3 linked regions of the Callithrix jacchus genome follow. The main gene of each other region encodes a partner of the protein of the gene in region 2 in a complex. Links are inferred from orthologs where the notes say so. Each region holds a gene or a part of one and is shown on either strand. Other genes may lie near its edges. The genes, in order: PPP4R1, PPP4R4 and PPP4C.

Region 1 (4,716 bases), on a different chromosome or scaffold from region 2:
AAAAACCATACTGCCTAAAGGCACTTGCTGCAATGTGTAATTCAGCTAAGATGATAATCAAATGCACAGCTCTTAAATATACAAAAATGATACAGATCCTCTTCCTTTGCTGCCCTTCCCACAGAATACTGAGATAAAACTTATTGAGGCCTAGCTACCAAAGGCAGAATTAGTTGTCTCATATCCTAGGCTAGCATTTGGTATATAACCCCTATTTTATCATATTACTGAGAATTGTAAGTCTAATTCGACTGTATAGATCAAGAGTTTTCTTTGTCTTCATGCATCCATTGGCTGAAGCACAGTTGGCACTCTGTAGATTTTGTGTTGTTGCAGTGAGATCACCAGTTAGTATAAAGGGCTGATTTGGGCCACATTTGGTGGCTTACACCTGTAATCCTGGCGCTTTGGGAGACCAAGGCTGGAGGATTGCTCGAGACCAGGAGTTCAAGACCTGCCTGGGCAAAATAGTAGAATCACGTCCCTACAAAAATTTTTTTAAAAATTTAAAAAATTAGCCAGGTGGAATGGTCTGCGCTTTTAGTTCCATTTACTTGGGAGGCTGAGATTGCAGGATCTTTCAAGCCCAGGGCTTCCAGGTTACAGTGAGTCATGACTGTGCCACTGCATTCCAGCCTGGGCTACAAGGCAAAATTCTGCCTCTAAAAAAATTTTTTTTAATGAAAAAAAAAGAGCTGATTTGACTCTTTCTTCTCCCATTTACCCAGAATTGCTAAAGTGGTAGATACTGATGAGGTAGCTCAGCAGGACAGAACTCTCAGGGGTTGAGTCAATCTAGAGACGGATTTCTGTTGATAGTTGTGAATTTCTAACTCCTTTGTCATTCTGAGAGTGTCAGCTAAATTCACAGGACATTCAGCAAAGGAGGAAGATAAATGGCTTTTAGTTTTAATTATTTTATAGTTGAGAAAATTAGATACACACTTCGAGTTATTGGGTCTGATTTTTATTACACCTAGAAATTTCATACAGACTATATAAACTGTCTTTCTCTCTTGTTAGTAGTATCTGATAGGGATTTTTTTTTGGACTAGCTATGTGTAGAACCCATATTATTATACCGATTTAGGAATCTTAGAGGATCTGATTCTTAATGTCCGAATCTTCAATGGCATTAAATGCCAATACATTGTCCTTGGTCAAGACTACAAGGCAAAAAGGAACAAGCTAATTAACTATTTAGAATTCCCTCTTCTAAGAGACCATACGGCCAAAGTGGCATCATGACACAGCTTGGTGTTTTGTTGGTCACTTTAGGAGACCACCATTTTGGAGGCCTTGGGTAGAGCTGGAGACAGAGCCATGGAGGTAGAATCGTGTCGGAAAACCTGGGTTTAGCCCCACTTTGTACTTGGGCGCTTGAGCTAATCGCTTAAGTCATGCAAAACAACAAGACTAATAAAGTCTGGGATACAGACTTGAACACCTCAAGTGCTGCCAAAAGTATTTAAAAGACAAAAGCGAATCATAGGCGCCTTTCCCCAAGCACCTCCTAGACCTTAAGAACCGTGCTAGGTTCCCTACATTCTTCGTTTAATGCCAATAACCCCACGAGGCAGATATCAGCTTCATTCTCCACATGGGTCCCAGTCCCATTAACTAACTGGCTGAATCAGGATCTGATTCAGGTGGATTACCCTCCATGTCAGCTCGGGTTAGCAGGACGTGGGAGTAAAAACCCGGCGCCCCAGCCTTCAGCGTGCTGCACGAGGAAGCTTGCTGGGCAGGCATGACTTTGTCACTCAACCACCCCGCAGCCGGACCCTGGGCTTTGTTAGCAGCCACTTGGCGAGGGCTCCGGGCGGTTGGGGAGGCGGCGCTTCCTCCAAACGGAGGTGGGACCCCGGCCCCGCCGACCTCGGAGCCGCCCCCGGCCCCGGATCGCCGACGACGTACGTGCAGGCCTGGGGATGGGGCGCGGGCGGCCAGCGGCGCGCCCGCCGAGAAGGCTGCGGCCAGCGGGGCGGTGGGCGAGGCCGGTGACCCAATAAAGCGGCCAGGCAGCGGGAGGCCCCACCCGGCCGGGTTCCGGCACTCGCCGCAGGGTCCCGGCCGGCTGCAGCTTGTGCGCCCCTGTCCGCAGCGCTCGGAGTGAGGGCGGCTCGGGCCGAGGGTGTGAGGGCGCGCCGCCCGGCCGGGAGCTGGGAAAGCGGGAGGCGGGAGCACCGGCCACCCGGGAGCCACGCGGAGGGGCCGGCGGGGCGAGGCGCGGCCTGGGGACCCGGCGTCCCCGAGCCGCACCGCCCGCTGCAGGCCCGGGCCCTTGGCCCGCCCCGCGCGCGCGCGCCCCCGCCAGCCCGGCCCTCCTCCTCCCCGCCGCCCCTCCCGCGCGCGTCCACCGGTTACCCGGCTCGCGCCGCTCCATGTAGCCCCGGATCCCCGGGCGGCCGCGGAGGAGGGGGCGACCACAAGATGGCGGGTACGTGGCCCCCTGTTCTCCGTGCGGCGGCGGCGGCTCCCCGCGCCCACCCGTCCTCCGCTGCTGCCCTGAGTGGCGGCCGGGCCGGGGCCGGCGCGGGGTCCTGGCGCGGGGAGGCGCCGCCGGGGCGGGAGGGAGGGCGGCGGGGGCGTCGCGCCGGGCCCCGGGGCGCTGACCGGGCCTTTCTTCTCTCCCCTTGGCGCAGACCTCTCGCTGCTCCAGGAGGACCTGCAGGAGGACGCGGACGGATGTGAGTGGCCCGGCCTCGCGGTGGCCCGGCAGCCCGCGGGGAGCGGTCGGGGAGGGCGGGCGGCGGCGCGGCCTGGGTAGACTAAGGGGACGCTGGGCGAGGGCGGCCCTGGGCGGGCCGGGGTGGCGATTTGGGGGGAAAATCGCGCGTCCGTGAGGAAACGGCGCGCCCTGGTTCCGCTGGGGGAGGGAGACGCCCCGAGTAACGCCCAAGTTAGCTTTCCGCCCTTCCTTCTCCTGGCGACCCCGAATCGCCCGTGGGCTCCGCAGTGGCTAGGCCGCCTGTTTCGGAAGGAGAAGCAGGTGGGGCAAGATTTGAAGTGGGGTTTGGGGTGTGTTTCTGCCCCTGGTGTTCCCCTTGCCCCGTCACTTTAGGAAGGAAGAGACTCGCGCGGGAGGTGTGTTTCCTTGGAGTCGCTCTCCAGGAGCTCCCGGGGGCAGCCTGGGTCCCGGCTAGCCGTCTGGGCTCCCCGACCCCGTTTTGGATCCTCTGAGGATGACATACCTGTCATTTTACTTTGGCTTGTGGCAGTTTTTAGATTACTCCCGGTTTGATTTGTGGATTACAGAAAGGTTAGAAGGTGTGGCCTCATCAGGAATTACTAGGTTTGGAGAGCACATTTCTTTAATGCAGATGTTCAGAAATCACCCAATCCTCCATCAGTGTTAACAGTGCAGCTTTCCTTTGAGGTACTGAAGTTTTTAGAGTTGACCCTTTTATTTTTTAAAACACAAAGTTTTTGACGTTGTTTCCTGATGGCGACGGAATTGATACTTAGAAAGGAATTTTTCTTCTTATATGTACTTTTCTAAGCCTCAGAAAATAACTTGAGTCACGACAGGAAAGACAAAGAATTAGGTAAATTTGTATTGAAAGAAGTGACAAATTGCAGTTAATTTAAAATAGTTTCTATTCATGCTAATCTTACAAAATAGTGATCCATCAAAAAAATCACTCGGTTTTGAGATGCGTTTTAAAAATGAAGAGTGGGCAAAATGTGTAAGCGTAGATCTTGAGATACATAAGGGACCAATTCTACTATGGTTACACAGTAGAATTGTGGTCTGTTTAGTGGAACGCCTACTGGATGCTGTGACTGTGTAATACCTGTGTAAGTAATTCAGAGATGGCTGCAGTTTGAAAGTACTCTCTTAAATACTCTGTAGTTAATCCTTAGCATTGTCTAATGTGGTTCCCTTACTCAGAGTAATCTCAATTTTTAGACTCCTGGTTGTTTTGAGTAAAGTAAGGGGGATTTGCTGTTTAGATGGATTATCTGAAATGAGTAATTTGTCTTTAAAGTAAATGAACCGCATCCAAACTTTTGCCAAGTCTGTATTTTTAGTAGGGTGGCTCTAAACAGCTTTCTTAAAGGGAGCAATACTCATGTAGTGAAGGGCAGCTTTAACATTTTGTTTAATGTTTACTCTTAGGCCACTTCTCTGCCTAATAGTAAGTTTCAGATATTATTTAAGGCAGCTATTGACTTCAGATCTCTTGCCGGGTTAGGATTGGAGAAGTGGCCTTGATTGTGTTATCTCGAGGAGGGCTTTTTATATTTATGTTCGACTTTGTAAATAGAAGATTCATTCATTCAGGAAGTATTTATGACTGTGTGGAGCAAACACTTTTTACTCCTGAAGGGTGAAATGCAGTGTCAGTTTCTTCCATGGCCCCCAAGAAGCACAGTGTAGAGGGGAAGGCATACCTGTGAAAAATTCAACCATGAGTTTAAAGACTCTGCCGGGTACTGGTGATGGAGCTGTAGAAGGATGGGCACAACCCATGCCCTCTAGTGGTTTACTAGCAATCTGAATCTAGGTGTACAGTACACTATCATAGTTATAGACTGGAGCCAGGCTGCTCTGTTCGTCTTAGCAGTGTCTTTTTGGGCAGACTGGGGCAACTCACTTAACCTCCCTAAGCCTCGGTTTTATCATTTGTAAACTGGCATAAGAAATATTACCTACTTCATAGAGTTTTTCATGGATGTATGTGAGTTAGTGCCTGTGAAGCACTTGGAACA
Region 2 (4,994 bases):
CAAAACATATACTGTTGAATTCATATACAAACAGAAGTTTTCTTTTAAGCAAATAGGTAGAAATGAGGAGAGCATGCTACCACAGATACCCCAAAGATGGGGAAAAACTACATCAACATAAAGTCTAAGATGCAGAAACATTTCTAAATGATACAATTATCAGAGGAAATGGTCTACCTGGTAAATATGCTGATATTCTGACTAAAGTTAGAACAGAAACTCATGATGCCACTTTTAGTAGGCTAAAAAAGTAATTAAGAAAATTGAAGACCTGGAGAGGGATTTTTTTTTCAAAGGATCATTCAGTGAATAACACGGGACTGGAAACACGATCTATAAACAAGAAAGGAGAACAAGAGACTTGCCAGTACCTGAAACTGGCGCTGAGCTAAAGAAACAAGACAACAAATACCCTAGGAGGTAAATAACATCAGCTTTCAAAATCTGATTCTGAAAAAAAGAGAAAGTGAAGACTAATTTGCCAAAAGGGAAAAAAATGTCGTGTAAACTAATGAAAAATTTTTACGTAAATATGCACAAAATGCTGTAGGAAATTTCTGTTTCTAAAGGATTTTCATCAATTCGTTAAACATCATTAATGTTCACTGTATTAGTTTTTAAGATGCTCAGTCTACAAGGCAATGTTTTAAATAGTTCAGAAAAATCTTGTAAATATTTGCAGTAACCATTTGCCTTAAGCAATTCTGTAGAGCCTGTGAGATGGTTTGAAATTTAAACGACAGTAGGCCCAACTAAGTTTCTAAAACCCCTCAGACAAAATAATAAAGCTTGCATAGCAAAAGTAATACAAATAGGACATCCTGAACAGCAAAAGTAACTATCACATTTGTGGATTTTTTTCCATATAGTAGATCCCATATAATGTTCATACTCTACAATGAACTTAAAACTAATCACTGTGTACTCAAGTCTCATCTAAACTTACTGAATCTTACATGAGAAGAACCAATGCCAGAAAAGAACAAAAAAAGATGAGGTTCAACTCAAACCATCTGTTCTTCCTCCTCCAAGCAACATTCTATAAATTACGTATTTTATTTGGGTTCTCAAATTCGTAAGTCCACAGCCAAATATAATTTATAATACAGTTAAGTACTATGCACACAAAAGTACTTTGTTGAAGTGGCTAAGTAAATCTGAACATAACGGGAACATACATTTCAGAAAGCATTCATCGATGCTGCCACAGGGGGAAAAAAAAGAGCAATTTTACAGAATGATTAGGAAATACCTGAGCAGATAAACAGCCCTTTCAATGTCACTGAGGTCTTCATCAACTGTCAATCTTTCTATTTCTTCTGGTGTCTGTCAAGGGTAAAATACACATTATGCACCACAAACATTGGGTCAGTCTTGCCCCCCAACCTCCCAGTGAACCTCTATGAGGATAAAAGAATGAAAAAGTTTCACAATTAAGCATTAACAATGAAAAGTAATCAAGGAGCTGAGGATACCAGGCAACATCAATCACGGAGGTCTCTAATTGGGTGGGCGAGTTTGGGGAGGGGATTGTTTTTTTCTGTTTTTCTTCTTCTAGCTTCTAGACTGCAGCTTGAGAATCGCATCGTGGCTTCAGAACCTTGGCTGAAATCCATTTCATACGCATGTTATAAAACTAATAAATACACACACTTTTTATCTCTAATACCTCAAGGCTATTTCTCCAGCAGTTTCCAACCCACGAAATGCTAAAAGGGGGGATGGATGAAGACTGCAGACGAGTGGGCATGAAAAGGACAAGATCTGGAGTGGGGGAGGGAGGAAAATAAACTCTGGGGCTGGAAGAAAAACAGAGATTTGAGATTGCGGCAGGTGGGAATTAGACCAGCTAAAGCAGCTATTAAGCGATGGTCAGAAAAGGGGTCCGTAAATTAGGTTTGCCTGCGCTAAGGGCAGGAACCTCCCGGAGGAAGATGACTCTGCGGGGTGGGGAAGCCAGTGGGGGCGGGGGGAACAAGGTGAAGGTTGACTCCCTCAAGGGGGTTGGGGAGCAGGGTCCCAGCTAGAGTCCTGGAGGGGCTGGGAGGAAAGGATGCGCGGTGACTCAGGATGGCGGCAGAGGATCGCGAGGGCTTTGAAGACCGGAACCAGGACGACACTGAGAAAGGGTGCTAGCTGGGAGGCGAGGGGAGGCCGGGCTGCCTCGAGGGCAAGGGGACCGGAGCTTGATCTGACTCGGTGGGCTAAGGGTGAGGGGATGGGACACGGGTGGTGTCTCCGGGAGAGGTGGGGGGAGGAGTAGGAGCGGTGTGGACCAAGGGGTGGGCCTGGGGCCAGAACCCGGGCGTCGTCAGCGGACCAGGGGTCGGGGAGCCCAGGAGAGGACCGGGGAGAAGTGGGCTGCGGCCTCGAGAGGCAGCTCCCGCGGGGGGGGCGGAAGGAAGGAAGGGGGCCCGCGACTGAGGACGCTGGGGCTGCCCCGAGGGCTGGGGCTCGGCCGTTCCTGGGGGTGGGACGGGGGGATTCGGACGCCTCAGGAGGGGCAAGGGCCGCGGGGCTGGCGCCCGGTCAGGGCTGCTACAGGGACCCGTCTCTTGGGGATGGGGGTCCAGACTGAGAGGACCGAGTCCGCTCTGAGGAAGGGTCCGGGAGGAGCTGGCTTAGGGCGACAGGGGCTGGAGGAGGACAGAGGGGCCGGTCTGACTGAGAGGGTCCCGGCCGCCCGGAGAAGGGGAGGGTGGCGGGGTGGGGCGAAGGCCGGCGCGGGGCCGCGCGAGGCAGGCGGCCGGACGCCCTGAGGGCAGGTCTTCTCCCCGGGGCGCACCTTGAGGCTCCGGCGGACCGGCCTCTCGATGATGGTGAGCTCCTGCAGGTCCTCCATGTAGCCGAACAGGCAGTTCTGACTGAAATCCATCGCGGCGGCCGGCGGCGGCGGATGCATGGACCGCCGGGCACCTTCGCCACCAGGGCCGGAGCGGCCCCGGGATGCCGGACGCGCTCAGCCCAGCGGCCGCCCACCAGCAGGACTTTCTCCCGCTTTCGGCCGCCGGAGCAGAACGTGAGGCTGGCGGGTGGCTGGAGCACGAGCGCAGCCCGGCGAGGGGGCGGGGCGGGCCCGGCGAGGGGGCGGGGCAAGGCGCGCGGGCGCGCTGCGGGGGCGGGGCCAGGGGCGGGTGCCCGCCACCTTGCCCGCCTCGGCCCCGCCCCCTCCCGGGCGCCGCGCACACGCGGCCGGACGCAACTGCCGAGCAGCTACGCGGCAGCTCCGCCACCCCTCTGCGCCCGCTCCCCGCCGCCCTCCTTAACCCCCCGTCCGCCCGCAACTGAGGGCGCCCCACCCCGCGGCGCGTGCGCAGAGCCTTTTGCCTCCCGCAGCCGGCAGAGGCGGGCTGGGGGCGGGGAGGCTGAGCCAATGAGAGCGGAAGCCGAGGAGAGGAAGCTGGCGGGGCTGCGGCTGCACCTACTGACTTAACTGTCCAGTTATTCCCAGACCGCCCACCCTAGCTGGCGGGGCAGCGGACCCAGAGACCGCCCCCGGCACAGCTCCAACCCTGGAGGAGGGCTGAGTGCCGCAAATAAGCAATTAGGACGTGAGGTGCCCGGCAGACGGGGGGTGACTAGCTTTTGGGCAAGGGCAGCAATCGGAAAAGGCCTCCTGGAGAAGAGTCATTTAAACTGAATCTTAGAGACCGATAAGGCTTTCCTAAGAGAAATAATTAGAGCAAGCCCGTCTGGGGTTGAAGCCTGGGTGTGTTTGGTTGGGTTTGAGAAGTGCCGTCAAAGTAGAGCTCCGGGCTCAGGCATCCAGGGCTTGGCGAGGTGGGTGGAAGAGGAAGAGGACCTAGGTCCTCGGTGGGGGAAAGCCCTGCTCTGGACAGCCACGTTGAGTCCCTTGCACTTAGTTCTGTTAACAATGGGAAGCGATGGAAGGGGGATTGGGGCGATTGTTTTGGACCTGGGGAACAAGTTATGTTGGTACCCTTCGGCTCGTCAGTCAGCAAGGCCCCTTTTTTGTTTTTATTTTCCACTTGTTCCTCCACACCTTTCTTCTTCCCACCATATGCGCCCTCTTCTGAATTAAGGTATGTCCCAGTTCATGCACTGTATACAGCCTCAAAAGATACATGGTTTGTGTCTGTTTTTAACATACATGAATGGCGTTGTGATGAGAACTCATTCTGTTCCTTGTTTTTTCTCTTAGAAGATCTATTCATGTGACACTATACAACGAGTTCATTAATTATGACCAATAATAATATTTGATTTCTGTGTCTAACATATTCTACTAACCATTTCCTCAATAACGGACAGTGAGGTCGCCAGCAGTTCCTTGCTACACAGACCACGTTGAAATGGTTGTTAGACGTGTCCCTTACAGAACATAAGAAATCGAGTCGCTGGGTCATGAGGTCCACAGCGCTTGGCTTCACTCTGTCATGTTTCCCTCCAGATGGCTTTGCATTGACACCCACACCAATGGCACATGAAGGTGGGAAGATACCCGTTTCCCATTTTATATGATAACATTTGGTATTATCTGATGTCCTAATTGATGTCAATCTAAAATCAGTAAAGTAGCATCACATTGTAATTTCGATTTGTATTTATTTTATTGGTGGTGTCATGCACTATATTTTTCCATATACTTAAGAACCATTTGGATTGTTTTCCTTCTGTGATTATCTATTTACATCCTTTACCTATTTTTCTGCTGAATTTTATTTTTTATAAAGGAATTGGAGGAGTTGAGTTTCTTGTATGTTCTAAATACTAATCTTTTGTCAGCTTTAGACAAATATTGCAAATATTTCTCTCAACCTTTCATGCATCCTGTTAGCTTGGTTTTCGCTATGTTACCATTGAGGAGAAATCCTTAGCTTTCCTTTAGCCTAATGCATCAAATTTTAGCCTTGTGGAGTGTGCTTTTTGATCTTGTTTAGGAATCTTTTCCCACCTATTAGTCGCAAAATATTCTCCTACATTTTCCCCTATTTGGCTTCATACTTTTACCTATCACAGCTCTTAACCATCTG
Region 3 (5,002 bases), on a different chromosome or scaffold from region 2:
CTGTGCTTCCATGGGTTTCATCTACATGTCTGTGCCCTGTGGGCAAGCAGGTGCTCCTAACACTACCTGCCTCAGCCTGGGTCTCTGGTGGGTCCTCAGGAGGCCTTGGTCAGGTATCAGAGCTGGCCCCACTTCAGAACTGAGCCCAGGACAACAGTGACCAACTCAGGCCTTGGCCTAGTACCTCCTAGCTCCACTCAGTTTCAACTGGGCAGGACTCTCCACCCGTTAGCCTTCCACAGCTCTCTGCTGCCTCACACCCCATATGAAAATCTAAATGCCTCCGCCTGGCTCTCAGTGACCACAGAGCACAGTCAAAAACCTGCATGCACAACTAACTTCCCCTCCAACTAGCTGCACGATGTTGGACAAGACATTATCTACTCAGAGGCTGTTTCTTCTTCCACGAAATGGGGTTAAGTACTCAGCCCCGTCATGCCTACTCCTTAGGCTGTTACAAGGAGCCATGGAGACTGAATATATAACTTCCTCCTATTCTGCAAACTCCAGCATGCTATCCAAGCATTATCTACCATCGCCACCACACTGATCCAAGGCCTGCGCAGGAGATAAGACTTCAGAGGAAAAGAATAGTGCCAGACAACAACAGGTTTAAGTTCCTAAAAATGCCCATCAGGACTGAGGGAGAGGGGACAATTAAAAACACGGTGGGGCAGGTCTGGTCAGGGACGTTTCCTTCAGCTGGCAAAAGAGAAAAGCCACAGACAGGGTGAAAAAGAGGCCCACCCTGCTCACGATCCCCTCAGAGGCCCTGTCTGGCTGCAGGGAGTCTGTGAGGTGGGGCCGAGCAAAAAGCCTGGGGGCCACAGATTCAGAACTGAGCTCTGCCATGTCCTCAGTGGGTGACCTCAGTCAAGTCACCAGGCCTCTACGAGTCATGGTTTCCTATTCGGTAAAATGGAGCAAATGATTCCAACCTCTCAGGATTGCTGGGAGGAAGAGACGAATAGACGTTTTTTCGCCAGTACAGGGCCAGGCCAATAGTGGGTGTATAGTTCAATAAACATAGGGTAATTCTGCGGGCTCTTCTGCCGCAATTCACCAGCCTGGTAGAAGTCACAATCACACAGTTCCCCAGAGAAGGCAGGTAATTAATTAAACCCCTGACTGTTCCTCACACTCTCAGGGCCTCCAATGCTACACTTGTCCTGCTTGGAATGCCCTTCCCTCACTGGTCCTGCCTGTCAGCTAGCCAAATTATCTTCATCCTTCAAGGTCTACCTCTATTTAGTAGCCTTCCCTGATGGCTTTAGCCCATCTCATCGTTGCCCTCATCCAAGAGAAATAGAACACCTAGTGACTATCAAGCATGTATGCTGTACCAAGACACTGTGCTAAACTTAAGCAGCAACTCACTGAATTTTCACAACCATCTTATTAAGTACTATTAACTCTGCTTTGCAAGTAAAGACACCTTAAGATCACTAACACAACTAGTAAGTGGCAGAGTTCAGATTCAAACCTAGAGCCATCTCACACTCCAAAACCTAGAGCCTTAGGTCATCCTACTTCCCACAGAACTTTAAACTGGCCTTCCTATCATGCTTAATTCTTTTTTTTTTTTTTTTGAGATGGAGTTTCACTGTTGTTACCCAGACTGGAGTGCAATGGCACGATCTCGGCTCACTGCAACCTCCGCCTCCTGGGTTCAAGCAATTCTCCTGCCTCAGCCTCCCGAGTAGCTGGGACTACAGGCGTGCACACCACCATGCCCAGCCAATGTTTGTATTTTTAGTAGAGACGGGGTTTCATCTTGTTGACCAGGATGGTCTCAATCTCTTGACCTCGTGATCCACCTGCCTCGGCCTCCCAAAGTGCTGGGATTATAGGCGTGAGCCACCACGCCCGGCCATATCATGCTTAATTCTATCCTGGCTTACTTGCTACGATTTCTCAGGGTCCCATCCTGAATGTGAGTGATCCAAATCCACCTTCTTGCATTATGGCCTGAAAAAGGACAGGACACTAAGAACTGGCTTCAGACTCCACTCCTTACTTGTGGGTAACTTTGAACATGACAGTCCTCACCTGTAAAATGAGTACAATACGCCAACCTTTATGGGTGGTTGTTGGAATTCAGACTTTTATAAATCACAGCGTCTTTAACCTTCCTGTCTTAAACCTTTGTTTTGTTGCTGACTCTTTTACCAACTCCTTATTCGAGGCCTGTCTCACAGTTCGCCACCCACCCCCAGAAGCTTCTGTCCCCCAGACAGATGGGCTTGTTTCCCTTGGTTTCCTAAGTACTTTACGTAACACTCTTACTCCACTGGAAACACATCTTCTAATACTTTAAGTGTCTTTATCCAGCTGTCTTCCCCCAGCAGGCTAGCTCTTCCTCGAGCGCAGTGGCCCCATCCCGTTCCTCTCTGGGAAAGCTTCCAGGAAGGGGCAAGCCCAAAATTCTCAGTTGGGTTTGCCCCAGGCCAGAACCCGTGGGCGGCGGCTTGGCCTCCCTTCCGTGGGGCCAACGGGCTCACCTGGCCTTAGCGCACAGGGCCTTGACTTCGCTCTCCTTGATGAGCTCGCAGCGACGCAGCTGCTCGATCTGCCGGTCCAGGTCGCTGATCTCCGCCATGGCCCACCCCCCGGCGCGGGTCAGAGTCGGGGCCACCGCCCCCTCCGCACCGCACAGGGGTCTCCTGGGAAAGGCCAAGACAAGCCCGCGGATTAGAGTGTCCGTGAGGGGCGAGGAGCGGACAACTGGATTCTAGGGCCAGCCCGGCCCCACCCCCACCCCCGCCTCCCTTCACATCGGCCCCGGGACCCCCCCAGCGTCCCACGGCCTGGCCGGACCCCCACTAACTCCCGTCGAATCCCACGGTTCGCGCTAAGGACGGTGGCCTAGAGGGGTCTCGCATTATTACCGCCGCTGCGACTCCGGTTCCGGCTATGGGGCGCTTCCTGCCTCCCGACTTCCCTCCGCTTTGGGCCGCCGCCGCCGCCGCCTCTACTTCCGGCCCCGCCGCGGAAGCAAAGGGAAGCCAGTTCCGCCGCGCGCCGGATGTGGCGTCATACACGCTCCTCACCCTCCCTCCTCGCGCCCCCGGCACCACTTCCCAAGTCTGAAATCGGGAAGGAGCGGGAGTAATCCGGTGGCAGCTGGAGGCCAGCGGAAGTGTTTGTGGGCTCAGCCGCAGGTGATGTTGGGCTGTTAGAAACCCTAGACCAGTCCCCTCCCATTTCATTTTATAAAAATGTTTAAATTTAGACAACTTTCTTTTTTCTTTTTGAGACGGAGTTTGGCCCTTGTTGCCCAGGTTGGAGTACAATGGCGCGATCTAGGTTCACCGCAACTTCCGCCTCCCGGGTTCAAGCGATTCTCCTGCCTCAGCCTCCCGAGTAGCTGGGATTACAGGCATGTGTGCCACCACGCCTGGCTAGTTTTCTTTTTTTTTTTTAAGACGGGGTTTCACCATATTGGTCAGGCTGGTCCTGAACTCCCGACCTCAGGTGATCCTCCCGCCTTGGCCTCCAAAGTGCTTGGATTACAGGCGTGAGCCACTATGCCCGGCCTAGTTTTGTATTTTTAGTAGAGACAGGGTTTCTCCACATTGGTTAGGCTGGTCTCAACCTCTTGACCTCAGGTGATCCTTCCGCTTAGGCCTCCCAAAGTGCTGGGATTACTTTGGGTTCATGGGCGCGTGAACCACTGCGACCGGCCACAACTTTTATTTTTTTCTAAATTAGAGATAGTGTCTTGCTCTCTTGCTCAGGCTGGAGTCCAGTGGGGCGATCATAGCTAACTTCAATCTCGAACTCCTGGGCTCAAGCGATCCTCCCTCTTCGGCCCCCCAAAGTGCTTGGATTACAGGCCTCAGTCACCACGCCTGGTCATCCCCATTTCAGCTAGGGAAACAAGTCGAGCTGGGACTAGGCCTTGTAACTTTATGTTACACTTTTTTAAGTTACACATTTTTGTTATTTATCCGACACCACAATCCTTGGAGGATCCAACTTTGTCTTTTTCAATATTGAAGCCCCAGTGCTTAGAATAAGGCCTGGCATGGTAAGCATTTAGAAATACTTGTTAATACATAGAAATACTTAATACTTGTTCAATGGATGAAGGAAGCCCAATTCAAATCTCTTCCGGTGCCTTCAGAGAAATCTTTGCCATTGACAGCTTCAGAAGTTAACAAATTGGAGTCCACCTTTCCTATGCCAAGCCTGTATCTCAGTCAGCATGATTTCTGTGATTCCAAAATGTTCCCCTTAACATTTCTTAGTTGCTTTTTCTTTCTTTCTTTTTTTTTTTTCGAGACAGTCTCACTCTTTTGCCCAGACTGGAGTGCAGTGGTACAATCTCGACTTACTACAATCTCCACCTCCCAAGTTCAAGCAATTCTCCTGCCTCAGCCTCCTGAGTAGCTGGGATTACAGGCATGTGCCACCATGCCCGGCTAATTTTTGTGTTTTTACTATTTATTTATTTTTTAAGATGGAGTCTTGCTCTTGTTGCCCAAGGCTGGAGGGCAATGGCGTGATTTCAGCCCACTGTAACCTCCACCTCCTGGCTTCAAGTGATTCTCCTGCCTCAGCCTTCTGAGTAGCTAGAATTACAGGCATCTGCCACCACACCCAGCTAATTTTTGTCTTTTTAGTAGAGACGAGGTTTCACCATGTTAGCCAGGCTGGTTTCAAACTCCTGACCTCAGGTGATCTACCTGCCTCGGCCTCCGAATGCTGGGATTAGAGGCATGAGCCACCATGCCTGGCCAATTTTTGTAGTTTTACTAGATACAGGGTTTCATCATGTTGGCCACACTGGTCTTGAGGCTGGTCTCCAACTTATGACCTCAGGTGATCTCCCTGCGTCAGCCTCCCAAAGTGCTGGGATTACAGGCTTGAGCCACCGTGCCCACCTTCTTAGTTGCTTTCTGTTGCCTGAAAGTTTTATGCCTAGGCCAGGCATGGTGGTTTACACCTGTAATCCCAGCACTTTGGAAGGCTGAGGTGGGTGGACCATAAGGTCAGGAGT

What was found.
Region 1: PPP4R4 (region 2) and PPP4R1 share a complex: the UniProt entries of both Homo sapiens proteins name them as parts of the PP4 complex. The link is inferred for Callithrix jacchus from reciprocal best matches to the Homo sapiens genes PPP4R4 and PPP4R1.
Region 3: PPP4R4 (region 2) and PPP4C share a complex: the UniProt entries of both Homo sapiens proteins name them as parts of the PP4 complex. The link is inferred for Callithrix jacchus from reciprocal best matches to the Homo sapiens genes PPP4R4 and PPP4C.

Annotation. Positions count from the first base shown.
Region 1 is NC_133514.1:53,315,012-53,319,727, forward strand, and holds the start of PPP4R1 (serine/threonine-protein phosphatase 4 regulatory subunit 1), read left to right. Parts: upstream 1-1,720; 5' UTR 1,721-1,750; coding exon 1,751-1,913; intron 1,914-2,354; exon of another isoform or gene 2,355-2,433; coding exon of another isoform or gene 2,434-2,440; intron 2,441-2,645; coding exon 2,646-2,690; intron 2,691-4,716. UniProt on the Homo sapiens protein: Regulatory subunit of serine/threonine-protein phosphatase 4. May play a role in regulation of cell division in renal glomeruli. The PPP4C-PPP4R1 PP4 complex may play a role in dephosphorylation and regulation of HDAC3.
Region 2 is NC_133509.1:128,995,372-129,000,365, reverse strand, and holds the start of PPP4R4 (serine/threonine-protein phosphatase 4 regulatory subunit 4), read right to left. Parts: upstream 3,079-4,994; 5' UTR 2,903-3,078; coding exon 2,786-2,902; intron 1,327-2,785; coding exon 1,253-1,326; intron 1-1,252. UniProt on the Homo sapiens protein: Putative regulatory subunit of serine/threonine-protein phosphatase 4.
Region 3 is NC_133513.1:29,442,992-29,447,993, forward strand, and holds the start of PPP4C (serine/threonine-protein phosphatase 4 catalytic subunit), read right to left. Parts: upstream 2,974-5,002; 5' UTR 2,889-2,973; intron 2,664-2,888; 5' UTR 2,600-2,663; coding exon 2,502-2,599; intron 1-2,501. UniProt on the Homo sapiens protein: Protein phosphatase that is involved in many processes such as microtubule organization at centrosomes, maturation of spliceosomal snRNPs, apoptosis, DNA repair, tumor necrosis factor (TNF)-alpha signaling, activation of c-Jun N-terminal kinase MAPK8, regulation of histone acetylation, DNA damage checkpoint signaling, NF-kappa-B activation and cell migration.